Linked DNA regions of Oreochromis niloticus. The protein of the gene in region 1 interacts with the protein of each later gene in a pairwise test. Links are inferred from orthologs where the notes say so. Each region holds a gene or a part of one and is shown on either strand. Other genes may lie near its edges. The genes, in order: zmym2 and foxp1b.

The links.
Region 2: the proteins of zmym2 (region 1) and foxp1b come close enough for resonance energy transfer, tested with the Homo sapiens proteins (2 studies listed by BioGRID). The link is inferred for Oreochromis niloticus from reciprocal best matches to the Homo sapiens genes ZMYM2 and FOXP1.

Annotation. Positions count from the first base shown.
Region 1 is NC_031987.2:27,442,735-27,455,267, forward strand, and holds the start of zmym2 (zinc finger MYM-type protein 2), read left to right. Parts: upstream 1-7,222; 5' UTR 7,223-7,476; coding exon 7,477-7,695; intron 7,696-12,533. UniProt on the Homo sapiens protein: Involved in the negative regulation of transcription.
Region 2 is NC_031970.2:32,337,192-32,349,713, reverse strand, and holds the start of foxp1b (forkhead box protein P1-B), read left to right. Parts: upstream 1-7,013; 5' UTR 7,014-7,158; intron 7,159-7,550; exon of another isoform or gene 7,551-7,863; intron 7,864-11,205; 5' UTR 11,206-11,281; intron 11,282-12,522. UniProt on the Homo sapiens protein: Transcriptional repressor. Can act with CTBP1 to synergistically repress transcription but CTPBP1 is not essential. Plays an important role in the specification and differentiation of lung epithelium.

The DNA.
Region 1 (12,533 bases):
ACACTATGTGCAGCAGAAAACTAACACTGCACATCACTCTGAACACACCATCCCCACTGTCAAATATGGTGGTGGCAGCATCATGCTCTGGGGGTGCTTCTCTTCAGCAGGGACAGGGAAGCTGGTCAGAGATGATGGGAAAGTGGATGGAGCCAAATACAGGGCAATCTTGGAAGAAAACCTGTTGGAGTCTGCAAAGGACTTGAGACTGGGGCGGAGGTTCACCTTCCAGCAGGACAACGACCCTAAACATAAAGCCAGGGCAACAATGGAATGGTTTAAAACAAAACATATCCATGTGTTAGAATGGCCCAGTCAAAGTCCAGATCTAAATCCAATCGAGAATCTGTGGCAAGATCTGAAAACTGCTGTTCACAAACGCTGTCCATCTAATCTGACTGAGCTGGAGCTGTTTTGCAAAGAAGAATGGGCAAGGATTTCAGTCTCTAGATGTGCAAAGCTGGTAGAAACATGCCCTAAAAGACTGGCAGCTGTAATTGCAGCAAAAGGTGGTTCTACAAAGTATTGACTCAGGGGGCTGAATAATTACGCACACCCCACTTTTCAGTTATTTATTTGTAAAAAAATGTTTGGAATCATGTATGATTTTCGTTCCACTTCTCACGTGTACACCACTTTGTATTGGTCTTTCACGTGGAATTCCAATAACATTGATTCATGTTTGTGGCTGTAATGTGACAAAATGTGGAAAAGTTCAAGGGGGCCAAATACTTTTGGAAGCCACTGTACAGACAGACATTCACTCTCACATTCACACCTATGGGCAATTCAGATTAGCCAATTAACCCATCCCCACTAACTGCATGTAGCAACAGTACTAATCACCGTGCCAACAGTTACCTGAATGGTCCTGAATGGTCCATTCAGGTCCAACCGGAATGGACCATTTGATTTTTGTGTGTGTGTGTGTGTTGTTTTTTTTTTTTTTTTTTTTTTAATAATCATGTGTTTTAAAAACCGGTACAACACAGTAGCTCAGATGTATTTAAGTTTATATGGTTAAATACTTTAATGTTCTGGTGGGGATGATAAGATTGGAAAGTCGCTAAACAATAACAGGCATCTCACAGAGTAAATGATAAGATAAGATAAGATAAGATGGCCTTTATTAGTCCCACAGGTGGGAAATTTGTTTTGTTACAGCAAAAGTGCAAAGTTATGTAGCAGAAATTAGAAAACACTGGAATGCAATAAAATACAATAAAATAAAATAAAATACTATATACAATAGAATAAAATAGAATAGAATAATATATACAATAGAATAAAATAGAATAGAATAATATATACAATAGAAGCTTTAAAATAGAATAGAATAATATATACAATAGAATAAAATAGAATAGAATAATATATACAATAGAATAAAATAGAAATACAAATACTATATACAACTGAGTAGGAAAATACAAACACAACTTCGTCAGAAGAAGAATTGCACATATAGCAGTCTTATTGCACATGTGTGGGTTTGTGTGTTTGATCAGCTGCAAAAGTCTTTATTGTAGAGTCTGACAGCAGTGGGGAGGAAAGACCTGCGAAATCTCTCCGTCCCACACCGTGGGTGCCGCAGTCTCCCACTGAAGGAGCTGCTCAGTGCTGTCACAGTCTCATGCATGGGGTGGGAGATGTTGTCCAACAGGGATGACAGCTTAGCCACCATTCTCCTGTCACTCACCACCTCCACTGGGTCCAGAGGGCATCCTAGAACAGAGCTGGCCCTTCGGATCAGCCTGTTCAGTCTCTTCCTGTCCCCAGCAGAGATGCTGCCCCCCCAGCAGACCACACCATAAAAGATGGCTGAGGCCACCACAGAGTCATAGAAGGTCTTCAGGAGTGGGCCCTCCACTCCAAACGACCTGAGTCTCCGAAGCAGGTACAGCCTGCTCTGCCCTTTCCTGTAGAGGGCGTCTGAGTTATGAGTCCAGTCCAGTTTGTTGTTCAGATGAACACCAAGGTACCTGTAGCTGTCCACAGCCTCAATGTCCATACCTTGGATGTTCAGTGGTTGCAGTGGAGGATGTTTGTGCCTGCGGAAGTCTACCACCAGCTCCTTGGTTTTACTGGCGTTGATCTGGAGGTAGTTCAGCTGGCACCAGTCCACAAAGTCTTGAGTCAGTCCTCTGTACTCCTTGTCGTCCCCATCAGTGATGAGGCCGACTATTGCAGAGTCATCAGAGAACTTCTGCAGGAAGCACTGGGTGGAGTTGTGGGAGAAGTCTGCAGTGTAGATGGTGAAGAGGAACGGAGCCAGAACCGTTCCCTGTGGGGCCCCCGTACTGCAGACGACCCTGTCCGACACACAGCCCTGAGTCCTCACATACTGTGGTCGGTCGGTGAGGTAGTCCAAAATCCAGGTAGTGAGGTGATGGTCCACTCCAGAGTTCTCCAGCTTGTCCTTCAGAACCGAGGGAAGAATAGTGTTGAAGGCACTGGAGAAATCAAAGAACGTGATTCTCACAGTGCTCCCAGCGGTCTCCAGGTGAGCGAGGGAACGATGTAGGAGGTGAATGATGGCATCATCCGCTCCAATGCCAGGCTGGTAGGCAAACTGAAGTGGGTCCAGTGATGAGCTCACAAGGCGCCGAAGCTGAGCCAGGACCAGCCGCTCCAGGGTCTTCATCAGGTGGGATGTCAGAGCCACCGGCCTGTAGCTGTTGAGGTCCTTGGGGCGTGAAGTCTTTGGCACTGGAACAACACAGGAAGTTTTCCAGAGCTGTGGGACTCTTCCCAGCCTCAGGCTCAGGTTGAAGAGGTGCTCCATCACACCACACAGTTGGTCCGCGCAGGACCTGACGACCCTCGAGCTGATGCCATCTGGACCCGCTGCCTTCTTGGCTTTAATCCTCCTCAGTTCCCTCCGAACCTGGGTGGTTGAGAGAGACAGGCTGGAGCCTTGTGTTGAGTGTGTATTGGATGCTGTTGTTGGGGGTGGGGAGGAGTGAGCAGGGTGAATAGAGGAGGTGTGAAGTGTCTGAGGTGTCAGAGGTGGAACAGCAGCAGTGGGGGTGGGTGAGTCTGCAGCCGATGTTGGAGACTGCCTCATGGCTGAATCAAATCTGTTGAAGAAATGATTCAGTTCATTTGCCCACCTCACATCCCTCCCAGGCAGAGAGTTCTGATGTTTGTGGCCTGAGATGGTTCTGAGGCCTCTCCAGACTTCACCAACATTGTTTTGCTGAAGCTGGTTCTCCATCTTCTGCCTGTAGCTGTCCTTCCCATTCCTTATCAGTCCCCTAAGCTCTCTCTGCACCCTTTTCAACTCCTCTTTGTCTCTGGATTTGAAGGCCCTCCTCTTCTGCTTGAGGACAGCTTTAATTTCTGAAGTAATCCAGGGTTTGTTGTTGGAGAAACACCGTACAGTCCTGGTAGGTACGGTGTTATCCACACAGAAATTAATATAGTCAGTAATGCATGTAGTAAGGCTGTCGATGTCCTCACCGTGGTCGTCACAGATCACCTCCCACACAGTCGACTCAAAACAATCCTTAAGAGCCTCCTCGCTCTCCTCCGACCATCTCTGCACTGTGCGGGTGGCTGGTGGCTCCCTGCGCACTAAGGGCTCATACACAGGGACAAGGTGCACCAGGTTGTGATCAGATCTGCCTAGGGGAGGGAGAGGTGATGAACTGTATGCCTCTTCAGCATTGGCATACAGTAAGTCCAGTGTTTTATTGTCTCTGGTTGGGCAGGTCACATACTGGGTGAAGGTGGGCAGTGTGGAGTCCAGTGAGGCATGATTGAAGTCCCCTGATATTATGAGAAGGGCTCTCGGAGATTGTGTTTGCAGTCTGCTGACCACAGAGTGGAGAGAGTCACAGGCTGCATCCGCGTTGGCCGAGGGGGGGACATACGCTGTTATCGATGGTGATGGCATGTATAAACAGAGCATACTAGTCAAGCTGAGTGTTTCAGAGGTCATGATGGCGAGGGGTTCACTGCTCAGTCAGAGAATTCTTGGAAAACTAGGCAGGCTTTCGAGCAGCAGTTTAAAAACAGACTTAATTCTGTTGCAGAAATCACAGCAGGGGCTCAGCTACACTTGTGAAAAGGATCATCATTGACCACAGTTCATCCCCAACCCACAGTGCAAACTGGGGGGAAAAAATAACATTTAAACAAAAATCCACTAATACCACAGGCTGGACCCAAGATCACTAATCAAGGAGGTTTATTACTGCACATATAACTTGTACACCCATGATCATCACTATCATATGAACATGCTTTAAAGCAAAATATCCAACATCTGTTTCAAACAGTGTCTTGCATCTTTAAGCAAGACCATGCCAAACCACCAGCAGCATGTATCACAGCAGCATGATGGATTTTACTTCTCTGGGAAGCTATTTGAGTGAATCCATATGAGAAGGAAGGACCAACAACACTGCACGCTTATGAAAGAGATTTCAAGCCAAGAGCCCTGGAAAAAGACATGGAGCTTTTTTTTAAATTTGCACTTTTTAAAATAAAGATGTTTTAAGGAGGGAGTTTGCTACCAGTTGTTGTTAATTAATGCAGTTTTTACGAAATGTGTTCATAAGTAGTGGAGCAGTAGAGACATAAAATCCTACAGCTAAAATGCAGCATGTATTCACACTGTACAACAAAGTTTAACTTCCAAACCGATGGTTTCCAATCACACCACTAACAAAGTTGTCAGCGTCATTTCCTCTGTGTGTTAGTGGTAATAAACTGCTGGTTGGTCAGTGTAACTCAGGGCAAAAAAAAACAACAACAAAAAAACGCACAATTGTTTATTAAAACCGCGTGAGTTACAGAGAGGCTGATTACATAAACACTGTGAGTTCACAAAGCCTGTGTGGCACATCATCTTCGATCTTTATCGAGGATCGTATTTAAAAAGAGATCATTTCAGTGTGATTTGCGCCTGTGAGAAACTGAAATCTCCGACATTTTGTGCAGCGGCGCACAGACAGAGGATCTGGCAACCAGACACTCAGCCTCATCAAACTGACTTAGAAATAAATCCGTGTATCTTCCATCCATTTCTACCCCTCATCTCGTGAGTTCAGAGATAGCCTGCGCGTAAGGAGGGTAAGGAGGTGGCGGTCCTTTTGTAATTTTTCTCTTTGATCTCTTTGGGCAGCCGACCCTTTAGTGAATCTGATCTGCACGTTTCAGTGTGACATTTGAACGCACCTGATCCGCCATATTTAACAAACGTGATCACCGGCTCATTCCACCTTTGAGCCACCCCGATTTTTTTTTAAAAAGTAATAACAAAATTACTACTAAACTATAGATTACCCACCTTTACATGTAATAATTTGCACATCTGCCTACTATAATCAGTAGTTACTTAAAGTAGTGTCATTTGATTTGGGCTTAATTTTGCTTTGTAAAGGTGTGTGCGGCATTTTTCTAACACTCTCTGGTGGGCGTCATTAATTTCCCGCCGCCGTTTGGTTTCTGGTGAGTCTCTGGGTGAAATTATGAGAGGAAACCCATGTTGAGCCGACACAGCTGAGAACATGAACTCTCTCAACCCGGATCCTTGCTCCTGATTGGATCCGAGCTGTGTACTTCAATGCGGCTTGTTTAAGCTTTGAGAAAGGGGACCCCCGAAAAAAAAAAAAATCAAGAATAACTAAGGTGCATTTCTAGCAGAACTGGCCACACTTGACCTGGGATACATGATATCCTTCGAGGATAAGGTGCGAGCATCTTAATGGATTTTTAATTGCTTCCAATGCAGCCACTGATTGGACCTCCTGCGCCTGCGCAGGAGGAAAAGAAAAGAGGGTGAATCCTAAAAGAGCTCTCACTCCGTATTTACTTCCGGTTACAATGAAAATAAGAGGAAGTAGTTGTTTTGGGGTTTTTTTAGGAAGTTTGAGCTCGCGGTGTATCATTTTTATTTCAGCCGTTAATTTCTGCTCAACTGTGTTTTAGATATCGGAGACTAACATCACTATAAAACTTAATACGTAATAACTGTTAATAGTGAAAATTACAGACTCAGGCCGATTAAATATAAGATTTATAATTACATAAACGGCTAGCTGTGAAGGTTAACAGCGGGGCAAAAACTAAGGGGTGATTATGGAATTTATACTCTTATTTGAGGTTTTACCAGCAATTGTTTACTTGTAGTTTCAGTTTATGCCCATTTTCAGTGTTGAAAATGTGCCAAACAAAAAATCGTTTGGCCGTTTTAAACTGCTTTCCTCAAGTATGTTAACATCCTGAGGTTTACATTTCATAACAGCTTACATATTCTGTTCAAAATTGAAGGATGCCCCAAACAGCCTATTGCTACATCACAATTAACTATGGTGGAAGGACATTCTTTAGTAAAGATGAAAAAACAAACAAAAAACAACAGCATTATAATAGCCAACATTTGGCTGTATACCCTCCCTCACATTTATCATGAGTCCACAGAGTAACAATTACTGACTTAATAAAACCACTCCTCTGAATCCCCTCTCACCGAGAACAGTGAATAGATATGTTGCAGGTAGACACAAACCATAAATGAGTTCTCAGAAATCCTGTTTTTGTACGTGAGTGAACGTGCCGATGACGCGTAGTGAGTGCTCTGCTCAGTAGATGATCTTGGATATAAACTTGTGCGCACGCGCTTCCGCGGATTAATGTCAAGGCACAAAAGTGGCGCTACACCGTTTTGAGCTCTACTCCGGTAAGCGAATTTCACAGCCGTTTTTTGTATTCTACTTTTACGCCTAATTGGCCAAAGTTTCGGGAACTTGTGCGGGGGGGTTAGCCGGATGCCCAGGGAGTTTCTCGGTACTCACACTGGGGCGTGAAGACTCATTAAGGGATGAATAAACAGTTAATTTGAACAGATTTGGTCCTCTCCGTCTCTGCGTGCTGTAGCTACTGCCGCCTCTAGTCTTCAGTATTGTTCAGTTGGCTAATGGCGGACGGCAGGCAGTGCTGTTTTCCGCTGGGGAGGAGGGAGGTGTGTGTGTGGTGGGGGGTGGGGACAGAATTGCTCCGGTTGTTATAGTAATGGGTTCATACCTAGTTACAGTTTAGGCAACTCACAGGATGCTCACTTAAAACACGGTAAGGGAATTTCTCTGGGTCTTGTTGTTTACCACCGCATGACACAAATGAAGCCAGTTCATGTGATATATGAGAGTAGGGCGCCCCTTGCGGTTGCCGAGTATATTTTGCCAGTGATTGCGCCAGGGTGGACTCCGCGTAGGGTAACTTTCCAATTAAAACCCCCATCGTCACAGGTATCGCAGAAATCGGGTTTTTTATTCGAAACCCGGGTCTGTTTCGCTGGCACGGACATGTGTGCGCCTATAGAGCAGATAATCTGGACAAGAACAGGGGTTGTGGAAGGGGGGAAACACGTTTTTTTTCCCTTTTTTTTTTAGGTGTTGGGGACTGTGCTTGTCAGTGGCACACTGCATTAGCCTATCTTGAGAAACATTTGCTTCTATTTTAATCTGTTTTATGCGAGTAAATTGCGATGATTTTTGTTGGTATTTTAACAATGGCGCAGTCTGTGTCTGCTCTCCTCCCCTCGATCTGCCGCTAATCCAATGGCTGTTTGCGGCAGGGGAGGGAGCGGAACGGAACACCCTGAACCACGTTTCTCCTGGACCCCAACTTGGAAGCCAGTCTAGCCTCTCCTTTTTCCCGGGTTATTTATGGAAGAGCTGCGCAGCTCAGGTAGTGCTGGTTCCGTTTATTCTCACTGATCAAAGTTTTGGACCTGCTTTTTATTGCCAAGTTTGTTAAATATCAATGCCGGGGAAGAGAAATGGAAGCTAGATCGGGGTCGAGTGATAGTCACCGTTGTAGCCGGGGGCATGGGCCGGATTTGGTGCTGTGGTGGTCCTTCCAAGCGGTGTTGATAATCAAGGGCACGACCAGTGGGACTCCGGCGGCCCCCGAAGGCTTCGTACAGCCTGTCCTTCATTGGGTGTTTTCTAATAATTCACAGGAGGTCTCCTCAGCTATGTATAGCAGGGTTTAGTTTTGCGTTCAGGTAACCGGAATGGGCCATTTGATTTTGGGGTTTTTTTTTTTTTGATTTTTTTTTAGCCCATCAGCTGGCTTGGGGATGCTCTGATGGCTGCGCATTACGCATCACTTCTCAGTGACATAAGTCTTATATAATAATCCCAGGCGTTTAATTTGAATATTTTATTAATCGGCTGTTGTCTGCACAAATACTGGCGCAAACAGCTTTCACATCTCCACCTTGTGACCTGCTGGGGGGAGAGAGGGGGGAAAAAAATGTCAACTTCTGTGGCTTCATGCGCAAACTGATGCAGTTGGAAAGGTAGATGAGCACCTCTGTGAGGTGGTGATGTGGCGCAGGCGTTGATTTAAACTGCTAGTCTTGTTGAGGTGTGTGTGTGTTGCATGGAGGCAGGCTCGGCCACAGCGCCATCCCACCTCTCCGTCCACCTGGTGTTGACGTTGGGAGTCAAGGTTGCATGTCAGAGCTCATTAATGCTGGGTCCTCGTTTTCATCTCATCCACGTGAATGCAGGCTGTCTCGTAGCTCTGCATTGCAGTCTGAACTGAGTCTAGACCAGGCTATTTTTTCCCCCCCTCAGAGCACTATTGAGTTGCTTTGCACATAGATTCCTCTGTTGGTGGAATATCAGGCCAGAAAAGCATGAAGCATCTATCTGCAGCACAGCTTTGCTTTGCTTTTGGGAGGTCTTGCAAATGGGGAATGGGTGCCTTTGGGTCTCCTGGCTAGTATTTGGACTCCAGTTAACACCATGGTTACGGACATATGTTATTACCTTAGCACAAGTTGTGTTTGTAGAGGTTAGCTTGGGTTATAGCTTCTAAAGGAAGAACCTAATTATAGTAAGTCAGTGACTTGGAATTCAATCCTTCTTTTGAACAGTCAAGCATATTGTATTGATCTTGAATGTCATTCTGTTTTGCCTTGTACTTCCTGTCACATGGTCACAGCAAGTAAGTGTTCCTTATTCGGCACTAGTGCTCTACAGTGGAGCAGCTCTTTATTAGCAGCAAACATATACAGCTCTGATATAATGACTCTGCTGAGTTTGCAGCAGTGGCTTTTAACAATGTGAACTCCTATATTTCTCTACCAAGCATACAGTTATCAGAGAGTCTTTGTACCTTGATAGAAAGTATAGGACAGATATGCAGCCCGTTTTTGCATATTGAAATTTTTTTCTTCGTCTTTTTTCTGCTTGGAAAACACTTGCAATGAAGAAGTACAATTTAAATAAGCATGAGATCACTTTAGTCATTTGTAAAGCAAAATGGCAGCCTGGCTGGACAAAACGGGGCATTTGAAAGCATCAGAGCAGACTGTGAGAATTTGTAGCGGGAATATATTTTGTCACTTTTTAGTTTTTATGAAGAAATTTGGCGAAATAATTTGTTTTTGTTTTTTTTTTCTGCTAATCTGCTTAAAAATCTTGGAAAGACATGGGATGGGGTCAGTCTTTGTTAATTATCCTGCAGCCGATTTCCTGAATTAGTTGGAAACTTAATGTGAGCGCACTGCTTGACTCCACATCACGACCATGTGTCTCACGTGCTGCATATGGTGCTAAGAGAATTGAAAACGATAGTTAAAAAACTTTATTTGAAAATCAGGTCAAACATTTTTAATTTCAGCACCAATATACTGTTGAGTCCCTTAATATTTGACCAAATTTAATAATTCAACTTTCATAGAGCTGTGTTGTCAACGTAAAATGTGGTAGAGGCAGGGTATTGTATGAGCATGCATGGCTCCCAAAAGCAATGGGTGACTAGTCTTTCCTTACAATGTGACAGAAGCCTGACACATTTTCTCTGGCTCAAATGTAAGTGGAAAATTGAACATAATCCCAGAGATGGGTTTCATGTTTGATACTTTGAGAATCCTTTGCAGGGAGAAACCACCTGAAATCTGGAACCATCACCAAACAAGGAGTTTCCTCCTCTGTCATGGCCTTTGCTGCAGCTGTATTGAGTTCCTGTTTGTTCATAGGGCTTTCTGCCTTTAGTTTTGTCTACAGCAAGTGAAGTACAGCTTGATTGGGTTGACATCAGGTGAATGAATTGGTTATTACAGAATATTCCACATGAATAACTCCAGTTTTCTTAGTATGTCTTGGGTCATTGGAGATTGTTACTGTGAAGCACTATCCATCAACTTTACTGAATTTGGCTGAATCTGAGCAGCACTGTATCCCAGTAAACGTCATCTGGCTGCTTCTGTGTTCTGTCACATTTTCAGGGAAGACTGGTCACCCATTGCTACTGAAAGCCGTGCATGCTCTTACATTACACTGCCTCCTCCATTTTTCACTTCAGATTGTCGTCTGTTCCGTGGCTTCTCGCTACTTTTATCTGCCATCATTCTAGTACAGGTTGATCTTAATTTCATCGATCTGTTCTTGAGTCTGGTCACTGGTTTGGTGACCCTTGTCATATGTTCTTGGTCAGAAATCACATTGTCTTCCAGCCTTTGTCACCTTTGCATTTGTGCATCTATTAGTGGGCTTCTTATTGATCATAAGCTTTTCTGGGCCTAAACTACAGCCACCTTCAGTAGCTTCGGTTATTTTGGCCTTCCTCAAATAATTTTCATCTTCAATATGTTAACAGCCGGCTGAGACGGGTAAAAGCCAGAGGACTAACTCATTTGAGAAAATTGTACATCTTTGTCTTATGCAGCTCTTGGATCCTTCTTGTATATTTTGTGTCATCGTACTTCTTTATTGTGATTCTTTGTCCAATCAGTTTTGCAGCATTTGATCAATTGTTTAACTCATTGACTCGTCTGCTAATTGGGCCTCTGGAAGCAGCAGCCAATCTTTGGGGGAGGGGGGCTTCTGGTGTAGCCAGCTAATACCCAGTACCAGGGGTTCCTACGTTCACTACAAATGGATATCAGAAAGCTTTAAACACCCAGCAGTCCTCTTCCCTTTCCTACTTTTTCTGCACATGAATTCAACCAAATGCAAATCTTATTACAGAGATTAGCATTTGGTTCAAATGGAGCAGGCTATAGCATTGTACACTGTTACTTCTATCAGTAGTCACATCATCAATAAGAACTGGTGACCCGGTTCCATTCGTGACATACATGCCCAAACGCTATAATTGGAATTCTACAAATTTACACTGCCGAACAGCCTCTTGAGTAATGCCAGCTAACCAGATAGCAAGTAGGGCTGCAGTGATTCGTCAGCATAATCGCTGACTTTTATTGTCAATGCGTCATATACTAATACCACGTAAATGCGTTTTTGTAACTGCAATACACTACAGGAACATATGGGGGCGGTATCACCTCTATTGTCTGTCGAGACTGGAGTCAGAACTAATGAAGAAGAATGTAGTGTGACCCACAAAACAGGAGGATGGAAGAAAATGGAAACAGATTTTATTTTATTTTTTTTAAAAGTCAAAGCATTTCAAAGAAAACAGAGTTGAATGCAGATTGTGGAAAGCAGAGCTTTCCTTCCACAACAGCATTAATGCAGCGCACAAGCATTTAAAACGCCGGCACCCTAGAGCTGTGACGTCAGCTCTGAATGGGCCAGTTTTAGAGAGTTAAGTCATCGCGCTGCATTGATACCTTGTTTATGTTAATGTCTGAATAGTAATATTTATGTTTGTAAAGTAATGTTTATGTTAGCTTGCCTGTTGAAAACCTCTCAGGATGAATCTTGCTAAGCAAACACCTTTTTAGTTTTGTTAACTAATGAGTCAAATGCAATATCAAACCATTAAGCAGGAGTAGCTAAACTGCCTCCTAGTTTTTATATATTTCTATATAAAATATATAACCAAATTTGTAATTAGTAACGGTCTTTTCTAATTCTATTTTGTTCTGTTTTACTAGTATTAAGCACAGGTGTATAGATGAGTTTGTCCTGTAAAGAGGCCCATGCACCTTTCGAATGGCTAAAGTCATGACAGAGTCATCTTTAGCATGGTTATCAGCAGCTGGGAACATCATCTCACGGATAAGAGAAAGCCTTACTCCAGAGGATGTTCACTGCAATCATGAATTCATGAACTGAATCATCTGTAAACTTTGGAAACTTATTTTGGAATGGAAAATAAAATCTTTTTTATTTAATTTGAAGCTTTACTTCAACTTATGGGCAGAAGCCTTTTTTAGTTTCCTATTTGAAATTTTCTTTATTTTAAGTACTACTAACACTTGAATTTATCTAACTTAATATTTCTTATTTATTTAATTTTTATTCTGATGGTTTGAGTAATATTAAACATACATTTTGATTATTTTCAAATTCATGTTTCCTGGGTCATTATTTTAATTTCCTGTGGGATGAGACTACATGGTGATATTCACAGGTGGGCAGACTTGAGCAGGTGAGGCACTGGAGCCTAGAATAGGAGGTTTGCCCACAGGAAGCAGAGATGAGTTATTGAAGTAGTTATTGACTAATTGAGGTAAAATTGGCAGAATAGTCAACTACCAAAATAATCTTTAGTTGCAGCCCAGTAGCACGACAGCCTTTTAACGGCTGGGATAAGCTCCATCG
Region 2 (12,522 bases), on another chromosome or scaffold:
AGAATTTGTCCTTTGTAAACATATTTTGCAGCGATACGGGCAAAGTAAATAAAATGGAGCCAGAAATGAAGTGCTTATCACTGGCGTTTCATTTTGCACAATACAAACATCAATAACAGGCCCGTTAAAGGAAATTAATGTTATTTCATGGGGAATGTCTCGGTGTATTAAAAGCTTCTGCATATCCTCAGCCACTTTGTGCTAATTCATTCTGGCAGCGCATTGATTTTAGTCCTGACACACCTTGTAATCGTAAGACCTGATTTTAAATACTCACTGATGGTGATTACATGACTGATAACCTCAGCTTTTCAGTCATGAATTTTTGGACCTTCCATGAAGCAAGTTTGCTACTGATAGCATTAATACTGGGATTAAATTAGATGTGAAAGTTTCGTCTGAAGAGAACAACTTGCTGTTGCTGTTTGGAAATAAGATGCAGGCCTCAAAATCACAAGAGGCTAAAGGATGCAGAGGATATTCTCATTACCACATATAATCTGTATAACATACCTCGTGTAGCTTTCAGTAAACTTTCTCAGAGACCAGAAAGGCTCAACCCATCTAAAATGACCTCATTCACAACACAAGTAGTTGCTGCAAAGTTCCTTGTAAGTTCACTGACCCCTCAGTCTAAATACATGTATGAAATGTTTTGGCAATAAACACTGCAACATTTCTCCTGTCTTTAGTGAGCACTGTACAAGAAGCTGGAGCGAGTGACTGTGAAATTAGGACTTTGGGGCTCTGAACATGTCTAATACCCAAGATATGATGTAAATATCCCTTGTGCAGCTCCTGGCCGTGCACAGATCCATTCCTAGATTTAGTTAAGTTACATGCTTTCTGTTTTCCTACTGATCGTGCCTGTTATGAGCAGCCAGTTGAAATGGTTTATACAGTTGTTTGTAGCTGGCCATGGGCACAGTGTGGACATAAAGGGGTGGACATGGTCAGCAACAATGCTCAGTTGGTACTAAGGTCCCTAAAGTGTGCCAAGAAGATTTCCCCCCCCCCACACACACACACACACACCGTTACACCACCACCACAAACCTGAATTAGTTATACAAGGCAGGATGGATCCATGCTCTCACGCCGTTTACATCAAATTGTAAACGTGCACATGGCACAGCAGAAATTGAGACTCATCAGATCATGCAATATTTTTCCAGTCTGCTATTGTCCAATTTTGGTGAGCTTGTGTAAACTGTAGGCTCAGTTTCCTGACAGGACTGTTACATCGTCTGCTCTTCGGCTGCTGCAGCCCATCTGTTTTAGGGTACAATGTTTTATATAATCAGAGATGCTTTTCTGCATACCTTGGTCTATAACAAATTATTTTGCCCTACTGTTGCCTTCGTATCAAAATACCCACAAACTGGAAAACCCCAGTCGATCAGTAATTCTCGGATCAGCCCGTCTGGCACCAACAACCATGCTTTGTTCAAAATCACTCAACTCACCTTTCTTCTCGTTTTGGATCTTGACCATGCCAACATGGTTAAATGCATTGAGTTGATGCCATGTGATTGGCTCATTAGACATTTGCATTAAAGAGTTAAACTAGTATACCTAAGAAAGTGACTGGAGAGTGTATAATAAGTGTTGTTATTTTCCTGCTAAAATGTGAATTACTGACAAGAAGACTGCTTGTTAGCAGTTCCTCTGGTAACAGTGACACCAAATGTCTTTGTTATCACACTGGCATTAAAAGAGCTGAAAGGAAGCTTTTGTGGGTTCATGATTGCATGTGTTTGGCAAAGACGTGTGATATGTTTCCAATTAATATGGACTGTATATGAACATTTCTTAAAGGGTGGATGTATATTCCAAATGCAACATTGTTTAGGTTAGCTTTAACAGTTTAAATAGAATTTAAATAGAGTTCAAGTACAACATGGTAAGATGTGTCAAGACGACACATAACTATGAATGGTTAAAACTGAAGCCTGTGCAGTGCCTTAAATCTGCATTCTTTTAAATGACCAGCAGGCGGTGACTCACACTTGCAAAAAGAGGAAGCGTTTTAAAGGGAAGTCTGGGGGGAAACTTCCCTCTCATAATGTGTGGTTTCAGTAAACAGTTTCCTGATGTGTTTATGTTTTCAGTCACTTGTATATAGTCTTACTTAATGCATCATCATCTTCACTTTGTAAAATATGGTGCCCAATAAAGTAAAGAAAACTATGCATTGTTAATACAGCACCGTAAAAAAAAATACAAAGTGCTTTGATAGACAGGCAGAAAATGAATACTCAAAGGTCAGATTTAAACAGAAAGCAAGATGGCTAAACAGCTCGAAGGAAAAAAGGCATCACGTGTAATGGAATCAAAGAAATACATGCCTAGAAAAATGTGTTTTAACATGTGATTTTCAAGCTGGTTGCTGGTTGGTAACTTTATCTCCTCAGAAGGTCATCCCAAAGTGAAGGAGCCCTGATAGCAAAAGAATTTTAATCTTTAGAGTTTTAAGTCTCAACTTGCACCTGAGGATCGAAGGATTTGAGCTGGCTCGTTTTGCACGTAGACTTCACTTTAAACGTAATCAGTAAAATCCTAAAGTCGTTTCCAAATCGTACCGAAAACCAACAGGAAAAGGTCAGGATGGGGATAACGTGATGCTGTCTGCTAATTCTAGTAAAAAGCCGAGCTGCTGGATTCTGAAATGGAGAGCAACTTCCTATTTATACCAGAGGGAATGGCATTGCAATAGTCAAGCCTTGAGACAATAATTGCACAGACAACTTTCTCCAGGTGTGGATAAAGCAGAACTGTATGTTTTACTGACATCTGGTTCAAAGCTGAAAGCTGAACCAAACTGAACACCTACGATTCTGACAGGGCTTTAGCTTAGTAGGTAAAGCCAAGAGAACTCCCTGTTGTAGATGTATGAGTGTGTACCTGGGTTTCTCAGACAGATCCAGTCACTGGTCATTATGTCTGATTTAAAACAAAAAACATGCTGATGGTAAAAATGCTTAGCTCTGTAGACCTCACTACAGCAGCAGCCTCCCCCAGCAAGATAAACTGGAAATGCACATTACAACGTCCAAACTTCCCATATCCTAATATGATTTAGCATCCACAGAATGCCCAACAACAAGCCTGATCTATAGATGGACACCAGCACATCCCACAGGACTCAAAAGATCCACTGCCAGTGTCCTCAAATCACAGACCACCGTTAGACGGATGTTTTAGCAGCATCATAGGAACTTATCTATAAGCTATAAAACATTAATCAACTAACCCTACTACAGCTTTCCTTGAGTAAAGGATGCAAAAAATGTCCCAAAAACTACATTTCATATATATATATATATATATATGTATGTATATATATATATATATATATATATATATATATATATATATATATACATATATATATATATATATATATATATATATGTATATATATATATGTATATATATATATATATATATATATATATATATATATATATGTATGTGTAGTAATGTAATGTGTATATATATGCCATTTTAACAGAGCATTATCTTACTGACTAACTTTTTGGCTCACAAAATTTGGAAACACATAAGGCCGGTGCAGTCTTGCCATTTATATTTTCAGAGGCAGTCTTTGGTAACCTAACCCCTGCTTCTTCTTCTTCCTTTTATTCATTTAACAGTTCTTTATAGGTCATTATCTGTACACTTCCTCCTCAAGTCCTCCTCCTTTCATCACACTTTCAATGCTACAGCCCATGGCAGCAAGGGGAAAAACACCGTATGAAAGCCATCCGCCCCTCCCGTTTGAAATCAAGAGGAGCTCCTATTCATTTGCTTAATTACCTAATTAACAGAAAGCTAATTACTTTGTTGTGTGCACGCGTATGTGTAGAGAGGCTGTTACGTAACTGATAGTGATCCTCAATTAATTTGTAACTGCACTCCATCAAGTCGGGGCCTTAATCCGCGCGACACATCACCAGCATGACACCAACAAAACAGGATAATAAATTCCGACACAGGCACATGGCTGCTGGGCTCCGCTGAGCTCATAGATCCAGTATTGACATGCAGATCAAGCCCGTGAAGGAATAGAAAGCTGGGATTGTGTGTTAGATTAACGCCATAAGACTTTATAGACATTTGGATTTTTATCTTTAATTACAGCAGACAATCATGTTTACAACCTTATGTTAATCAAATGAAAAGCTGTAGAAAATACAACTCAGAGTAAAGTGTAAGTCCTATAGGAATTTTATGGTGATCATGTAGTTGCATCACAACGAGAGTGCAGACACATTCAAAAGCCAGATGTGCATGTTTTGGGTGTCAAAGTGTGAGTCTGACAGTTTAGTATTTGAACTGAAATGCAGTGTAGGCTCACAGGAGGCTCTTCATTTTAGGCCCCAAAGTGACTGATCTGTCTGTGAATGCTTATAGGCTACAACAGGTAGCGCACCACAGAGACGTATACTCTCTTGTGTGAAATCTTATCTTTGTTTTGGCCATTTGCCTGCATGTAATTGTTTTTATTTCTTCAGTTGTGAACACTTAGTTTTAGAGGAAGGTCCCGACATTACAGCAAAACACATAACTCCTGCTATCGGCAACTCCTAGTTTGGATTCAGGAGACACCCTCTCTACTTTTAAGATTAGGCTTAAAGCTTTCCTTTTTGATAAATCATGTAGTTAGTCCTGCTTTCTTCCCCTCATTCCCAACCGTCATGGGAGATGGTTGGCCTTCCCTGAGCCTAGTTCTGCTGTTGTTTTTTTCCTGTTTAAAAGAGATTCTTCCAATTGCTTGCTCATAGGGGTCATCTGATTGTTGGGGTTTTCTCTCTATTATTATAGGGTCTCTGCCTTCATGATTTGGTTTTATACAAATGAAATTGAATTGAAATGAACTGAAATAAATTGCTCAAAGGACAGCTGTCTTGTGCTCTGGCCTTGAAGGGCTGTAAATTTAGACAACACCCATGAGCTACGTGCTATAATACATACACTGTAAACAAAGCATTTTTAGAACATCATCTATTTTCTATAACCTGCACTTCTACACTTTACTGATGCAGTTTATTTAATAAAAACTAAACACATAATTGGGATCTTATTATACCCTCTTTAACTCTTTTATTTTAAAAATGAAACCTGTTTGTTTTTCTTGTTAAATGTTTAAAGCCTTTACAGACCTAGTTTATGTGAAGCATTTCAAGAGACAACAGGAAGTAGTTGGTAATGCTGTATTTTCCTGTTTGTTACTGTCACTATGAAGTAACACGGACAATGTCAGCTCACTGTGACATTTGGTGCACTGCTGATGGTGTCAGAGGTTACTGCAGTAGGGCAGAAGGTTGCCTGACAGTCTCTCAGTAACATAAGAAATAAGAAATCTGACATTTAGGTGCAGAACTGTAGACAGCAGCCTCCTGCAGGCGGCGCAGAAATATTATTAGGACCATGACATAGTGTTTTTTTATTTGTGTTAAGTGGAATAATCAGTGTTTGGTGCCAAGTCAATGAGCAGTATATGTATTACGCTCAGTGACAGACACCAAACTCCAGTTGGTGAATCACAGGAAAACTTACCAGGCAAAAAACATATATAAAAAGTTTTATTTTCATTAGTAATAGTATATTAAAGGTTTAAGTGCTTCATTATTTTAAATACCAGTGCAATGGGATGCTTCAAACTTACAAAGTTTATGCCAAGACTTAAGTAACAAAACAAAAAAAGCATATATTAATGGATTATGAATATGAGAGAAGCTTTTGGATATGAAATTGTGTATGTTTTGTTAGGGGGGTTGATTATACGAAGTCAAATATCAGTAACCTCAAAATGCGAGTGTTTGTTCAGTGGAAATATTAGAGTAATTCGTCTCATGACAGTGTGCTACCAGAGGGTGGCGCTCTCTACTAAGAAACAGTCTCTCATCAGAGGTCTATCAGCAGCACTCTGCTCTGATGCAGCCATGATAAATGCAATGTCCTTTACAGTGAAGTGAGCTGTGCTTCTCTAATATTGATCAAGGCCAAAAAAGAGGAATGAATCAAAGAAATTCAGAGTATTTTCTGAGGGCACATTGATGCTGCCTTACACTCAGCGTTAACTGGACACTTAAACCATCCCAGTCTCCTCTCCGGGGCATTTGAGTTGTGGTTGCATTTGTATAATTGCTTTTGTGTAAGAGTGAGCAAAACTTTTAAACCAGAACAGTTACTCCAAACAGTGAAACAACTTTGTTGAAATGTAGGTGTGCTGACATTCCCTTTAAAATATCCAGAGGAGCTAGCTTACATGTTAGAAAATGATAAGCAGCCCATACTGACAAGAACCTGGACTTTGGTTATCTATACTGTCATTATATCTACCCCACCCCCCACCCCCAATGCTTAAAACTCCTCAAAGCTGGAGATTAAAACATCTTTGATGAGTATGTCAAAGCATTTCTGTCTTTTTTATTAAGTGAGGCTTTGGAAGAGTTATGATGAACCATAGATCAGAAAATATAATAGTAAAATAATAATTAAAAAAAAAGACAGGAGAGTTTTTCTGAAATAACAGAAGTTCATTCAGCCTCAGTTATAATTAGTGAGCTTAGAGATTTTAGCTTTTCTGACAGCCCCCTCTCTCCTGTCACATTTTCAGCTAAAACTAATGCATATCATTACATTTCCCCATAGAAAGGACCTACTAAGTGCTACTAAGTGCTACTGAAATGTACTTGTGACTATGATGTTAGGATCTGCAATGCAATGAACGTTGTTTACCTCAGGTGGATATGACGTCACGGATTTGGAAGATCAAAACAACAACATCCAAATCAGCGATTCTTCCTTTTTTTTTCCTCCTTCTTTTCACAGCGTGTTAAAATCTAATAAGAACATTAAGCAAGGAGCTCGTGCCTTTTCCTGCGAGACAGACTGGCAGGCAGCGAGTGTGAAACTCCACATTTCGCTTTATTTCGACGCCCTCGGTAAGATTATCTTTTAAGTTACTTAGTTAGTTCCCCCCCTCCACCTCCCGGGCGGAGTAATATTCACTGTTTACTGTGTGATTTGTTGTTGCACGCATTCTCGGTACACAAGCTCGCGTGCACGGCTTCGTTATCTCATACTAGCGAATCGGTACCCTCCGCGTGCGCCCTGTTAGCTGCTGTAAAGCGTTTTTTTTCCGTTCTGGTAAGTTTCACTACTATTCTAATGTTAACGTTAGCTTTGCTGTTTCGTGTCTAGATACCTGCTGCGGCTGCTGCAGCTGCACTCGGATACTCGCACCGAGTTTGCCTCGGTTTTGTCTTGCTGTTTGCCGAATTGTTTCAAATAGCGAAATAAATAAACACCTGTATTATTATAATGTAGGGCGATAGGTAGCGCCGTTTTAAGGCAGCTGTACCGAGCGGCTTTTACAAGAATATCTTTACGACTCTATATTTATCCTCTGCTTTTTTGTTCTTTTTCTTTTTTGGGAAAAGTTGGGTTTCTAACTTAGTTGAGGCTACTCGTGAGACCCCGGGGGGAAATGCACCTCTCGTCCAAAAAAGTATTTTCAAAATGAATGCTACATGTTTATAACGTGCTGCTTAGCAATGGCCGCTAACAGACCGTAATTACCACGCTACCTATTAAGGATGCGCTGTAAAAGTTGTTTTTTTTGTTCAACTTTACACGGTGAAGGGGAAGTTTTGAGTGCCGTGATTTCTTTGGAGTGAAACCAGGGATGGAGCTTTTCCCCCACGTGTTAGCTGTGCTCCAAACTCAGAAAGACCGGAGGAAGTCAGAAGTGTAGCAAGCCCTCAACTTTGAAAGTTATCATTACTTTTATTTGGCTGTCCATCAGTTGCGTTATTCAAGCGTGTTCTTTCGGTGTGGCTTCCCTGCTCAGCGGTAAGGCTGTGTACCCAACACAAGTAAAAGCGGATATTCATTTCGTAACGTTTCATTAACACAAAGGAATTACGGAGTTAATTCCTAATTATGGCTGTGGTAACGTAAAGTAGCACTTTAAAAGTGGTGAACGTTATATTTTTCAACTTTTATAGTGGTTTGCACAGGATGTGAGACAATGGTTGTGTTGAATAAGATGTGCTGTGGGTTACAGTTGAACATTTTCATAAATGTAAATTGGCTGGAGCTGCGATCACTGTACGGAAAATGGAGATTATTTTGTTTGTTAATTTAATAATTGCAGATCAAGTTGTTGCAATAGTGTAATTAAACTTTTTTTTCAACTAATAGACAATAACATTATTATTTGTGCAAAGGAATGTTGTACAGCACTGTAGCATTTAAGCTCACCTATTGCAAACACGTTAAAACATTTTTTAAAATTATTTTAATGTGTATTTTGTAACAGGGGTACTACAAGCAAATAAGCACTATTTACAAATACAACAGTGGACAACTAATAAACAAATTATCTGATGCACTCAGTCTGTGATAATTTTTAATATTAGGCAGAATTAAAATAGTGCCAAAAATTATTATAGTTTTTTTTAATAACTAAAGTAAATAAATATAAATAAGTCTTGCCCTAATGTTTCATACAGTAAGATTGCAGCTGGCAACTAAAACTATCTGAAATTTTACTAAAGGGAAACTGCAGCTTTAACAACTATTGCTGGCAGTGCTCCCTCCTTCTTGGTCTTTGGATTAGTCATTGTCTGAGGGGAAAAAACACTTTTTTGTAGGAGAAGTAAAGTAAACAGCCTCCAACAAGCGAACCTTGACAACCCAGATTAAGGAAAACATTGGAGATCAAACAGTGCTGCTGCTGGGCTGTTGTCATGAGCTGCCTGAGAGAGAGCTGCAGACTATTTGAACAGGCACTGGGGTTTGTGTGCTCACTTATGCAGAAATGGACCTTCGCAAATGCTGACCCAGGTTTCCAAAAAAAAAAAAAAAACTCAGGATGAACTTTCTTTGCAACTTTTCCAGGGCCTGCTGTTTGACACGGCTATTACATACAGACATTCAACCTTCTGCTGTTTCTGATGGGAACGACCTAAGTGTGTCCCCCACGCCTCCGTCTAGAAACGAGAAAGACTGTACTTTCCTGCTCCGTACTGAAACTGAATAAATTGAGTTGGCGAGGGGGGGGGGGTTTAAAAAAAATAGATTGAAATTTGAGGAAGAGCAGCTGTATGCATTGTAATGACGCAAGATGCTTAACACACCAATCTGTGATTTTGTATTATTTGGAAAGCCCTTGTTACTAGTTTGGCCTCTTCAGGCTTGGGGTAAGGCTCTTCTTTGTAGAGAGCCGAGGTTCAACTGGTAAGAAAGTAATCAGTCACTCATGCATTCAGTGCGAGGACTCCCATCCCTGAGTGGAGCGGCCCTCTCTTTCATCTGACGGCTCAGTATTTGTGAACACACATTGAAATACCCTGTGCTGGGTACAGAGGGGCTGTAAACTGACTGTGCACCCGAGCTCGCAGCTGAATGATAAGGAGAGTTATTTTCGGGTCCAGTGTGGGAATAAGATTCTGCTTTCACTATATTGTTTCCTTCAGATTTATTTGCCTGCTTCACCCCTCATTTGATTGCAGATTACAAGACGCCCTCAAAACCAGTTGCTCGAAACCTTTTTTTTTTTTTCCACAAACCAAGACAAGTGACAGATGAATAAAAGGGAATTTTCTGGTAAATGAATTTGTTGTGTGATTTTTGCATGTTTGATTCACGCGCCACAAAAGGGGGAGAAGAGTACCGGCAATATGAATATGAGTGTAGCATGCTCATTAGTGCTGTGTTACATGAATGGATAACAAAGGGAAGCAGAACAATATTTCCAGGGTAAAGGTTAGTGTGTCCCGGCCCCTGTGGCGCGGCCCCTGGCAGACTGTTCTCTGTGACAGCAAAGGCGATTGGTCAGAGAGTGGACGGCTTCAGGTGAGCTCTGCGCAGCTCCTCGGTCTCTATGGAGACTGCCAAAACGCTCAGGATGGCTATTAACTTGGGCAGCCATTAATTACTGTCTTCTACTGTCATCTGTCCTTAATAAAGGGAGGGATGCTGACAAAAAAATGTCATCTGCCTGCACGGGAGGAGAGAGAGCATGCAATTACAATCAATTAACTTGAGTTACAAAATGAATTTACTGCTGGTGTTGTGTTTCAGGAATACAGTGCAACATTGGAGCACAGCCTGTTTATTGCTGGGAAATAAATTATGCTTGAGCTGTTTAAATATATAAGAATATTTCCTTTATCATCTATGGTGTTTTAAAAAAAAACCACTTGTTTAATTCAGGAAGTTGGAGATGACCGTTTTACATTGGATTTCAAAATAAAATGTATTTATTTTAATCACATAAGAGAAAGCAAACAGGAACAAACAGTTTAAGAGAAGGGACACTGATGTTTTTAGAAGTGCAGCAGAACCCATCCACATCTTTTTAGTAAATAATCAAAATATTCCAAATTTAGCTAGTTATAAAAAAATGAATAGACAGTGTTATGAATTGTTGCTGGTAGACTTATAAGAATATCCAAACAGTTTAATATGATCATTGTGCTCTTATTCCTACGAGTCCATGTTTTCCTGTCGAGTTAGCCTCTTACAATGCAGTAGCTTAAAAATCAGAATTTCCTCTGTAGTACACCACCACAGAAGGTTTGGGGAAGGATGCAGGTAAGCTACAAACATTTTGGTCCAGACATGAGGGGCTCAGACATATGCTGCAAGCTGTGCTCAGCTGCCAGGCTGAACCTCAGCACCTGTTTCTATCAGCTGTCCAGTCTGTGTGTGTGTGTTTATGATGTGGCACGGTTGGGCTGATAATATCATTTTTTAGGGATTTCTCTCCAAAATGTATTGATAATCATTCACACAGATTAACTCACATTTTCAGCTGAATTTAATCATGCTTTTTTGTGTCAATGAACCGTATTTCTGCAACATCCCGGTTTGTTTTGCTTACAGATTTACTCACACATTACTCAGTAACTGTGACCTCACCATCAGTGTAACATTATGATACAAATATGTTATAAAACAAATTTCCCACGTGTGGGACTAATAAAGGTTATCTTATCTTATCTTATGTTTATTATTAATATTTGCCAGTGTAATAACAACATAATAGCATATTTGTTTTATACACTACCTAAAGATGTACCACATATGTGTGTGTTTTGAGTGTATAGAGGTTGTTTACTGACCCCCAGGTTGTGGCATGTTGGCATAACCCTAGATAGTAACATGCTGTTCTGTTTGTCATTCCAGGACAACATGGACAGGAAGTGAAGCCAGCTCTGAGAATAATCTAAAGGCACCCGTGACAGTTTGTAACATCAGAACTGTAAGTGGTTCTCAACTCTGTTAAAACTTCCATAGTTTATGTAGGCACTGACTTATGATTTGAAGCCTCTCTCTGTGTGATTCGTCTCACAGATTAGTATTTTTTCCTTACAGTGTGAAGTGATGTAGACCGTAACGTTTGTTGCTTTGCTTGTCACTACAGAAAAAAAGATAAAACAGTAATCACAGATGAACTGATTTAATGTTTGGATAGAATATCAGGAAAATCCTGACATCGAAACCTGACTCAAGCATCAATGACAGCAATGTGATCTAAGTTACTATGCCATATATCAGCAGCAGTGAATCAGGTGCAAGCAGAGAGCTAAAGGAGCATGGAAGAAGCTAACAGGAAAATCTCAGCAGTTTGGGGGGTTTTCATGCTAGTTATGTCAATAGATTTCATCGCTTAACCTGCAAACTGTGGTCAACTGAGTTGACGAAACTGAAAAACTGCAGTGATGCTTTCTTTCTCTTGCTCACTCTCATTGTTTTTATGTTTTGTGTTTACTGCACTTGTGGTAACATTAAGTGTTGTTGCCAGCTCTTTTAATATTTTTCACTTCATTCGTATCCTCTCTCCACTCCCTGTAAACATGTGTGCGTGTGTGTGTGTGAGGAACAGTAAAATAAAGTGCACTCAGACTGAGTGGAGGAAAGGTGAAACTACACTACTATACATGACCATAAATAACAGCTGCTTACACTGAGGTGAGAGGAAACTAGTGCAAATGAATTAGATGAATAAGATGAACACGATTTCTAAACTTTGTATTTGTTTTTGTCCCATTTTTATTTACTACTTTATGCATAAAAATACAAAGTCAGTAAAATTGATGTATTTATTTGTTACATTTTATTTTACCAGGTTTGGAAAGCAGTGTCTGAGTCGAGACCAATGTTGTCTTATACAGTCCCACTCTGTTTCTCACAGTGAGGAATGCATCTTATTTACACCTAACCACCAATGGTGTTAAATTACGACATGATATAATGGAAAAAAAGGTGATTGGGTGCATCCCTAATGGTTACTGTTGAGATAAAAGGGTCAGCTGTGTTGTAATTCCAGAGCTCATGTGATGCAAGGTGTTAAAAAGTCAGCCAGTTTCACTGGTGTAGGAATGGTGATATTTATCTAACGTAAATGTGACTCAATATAATGTGGAAAGTAATAATCCAAAAATTGTAATAAAAAAAGGCAAAAAAATATGTTTTCAATACGTCAGTGACAACTTGTGTGGT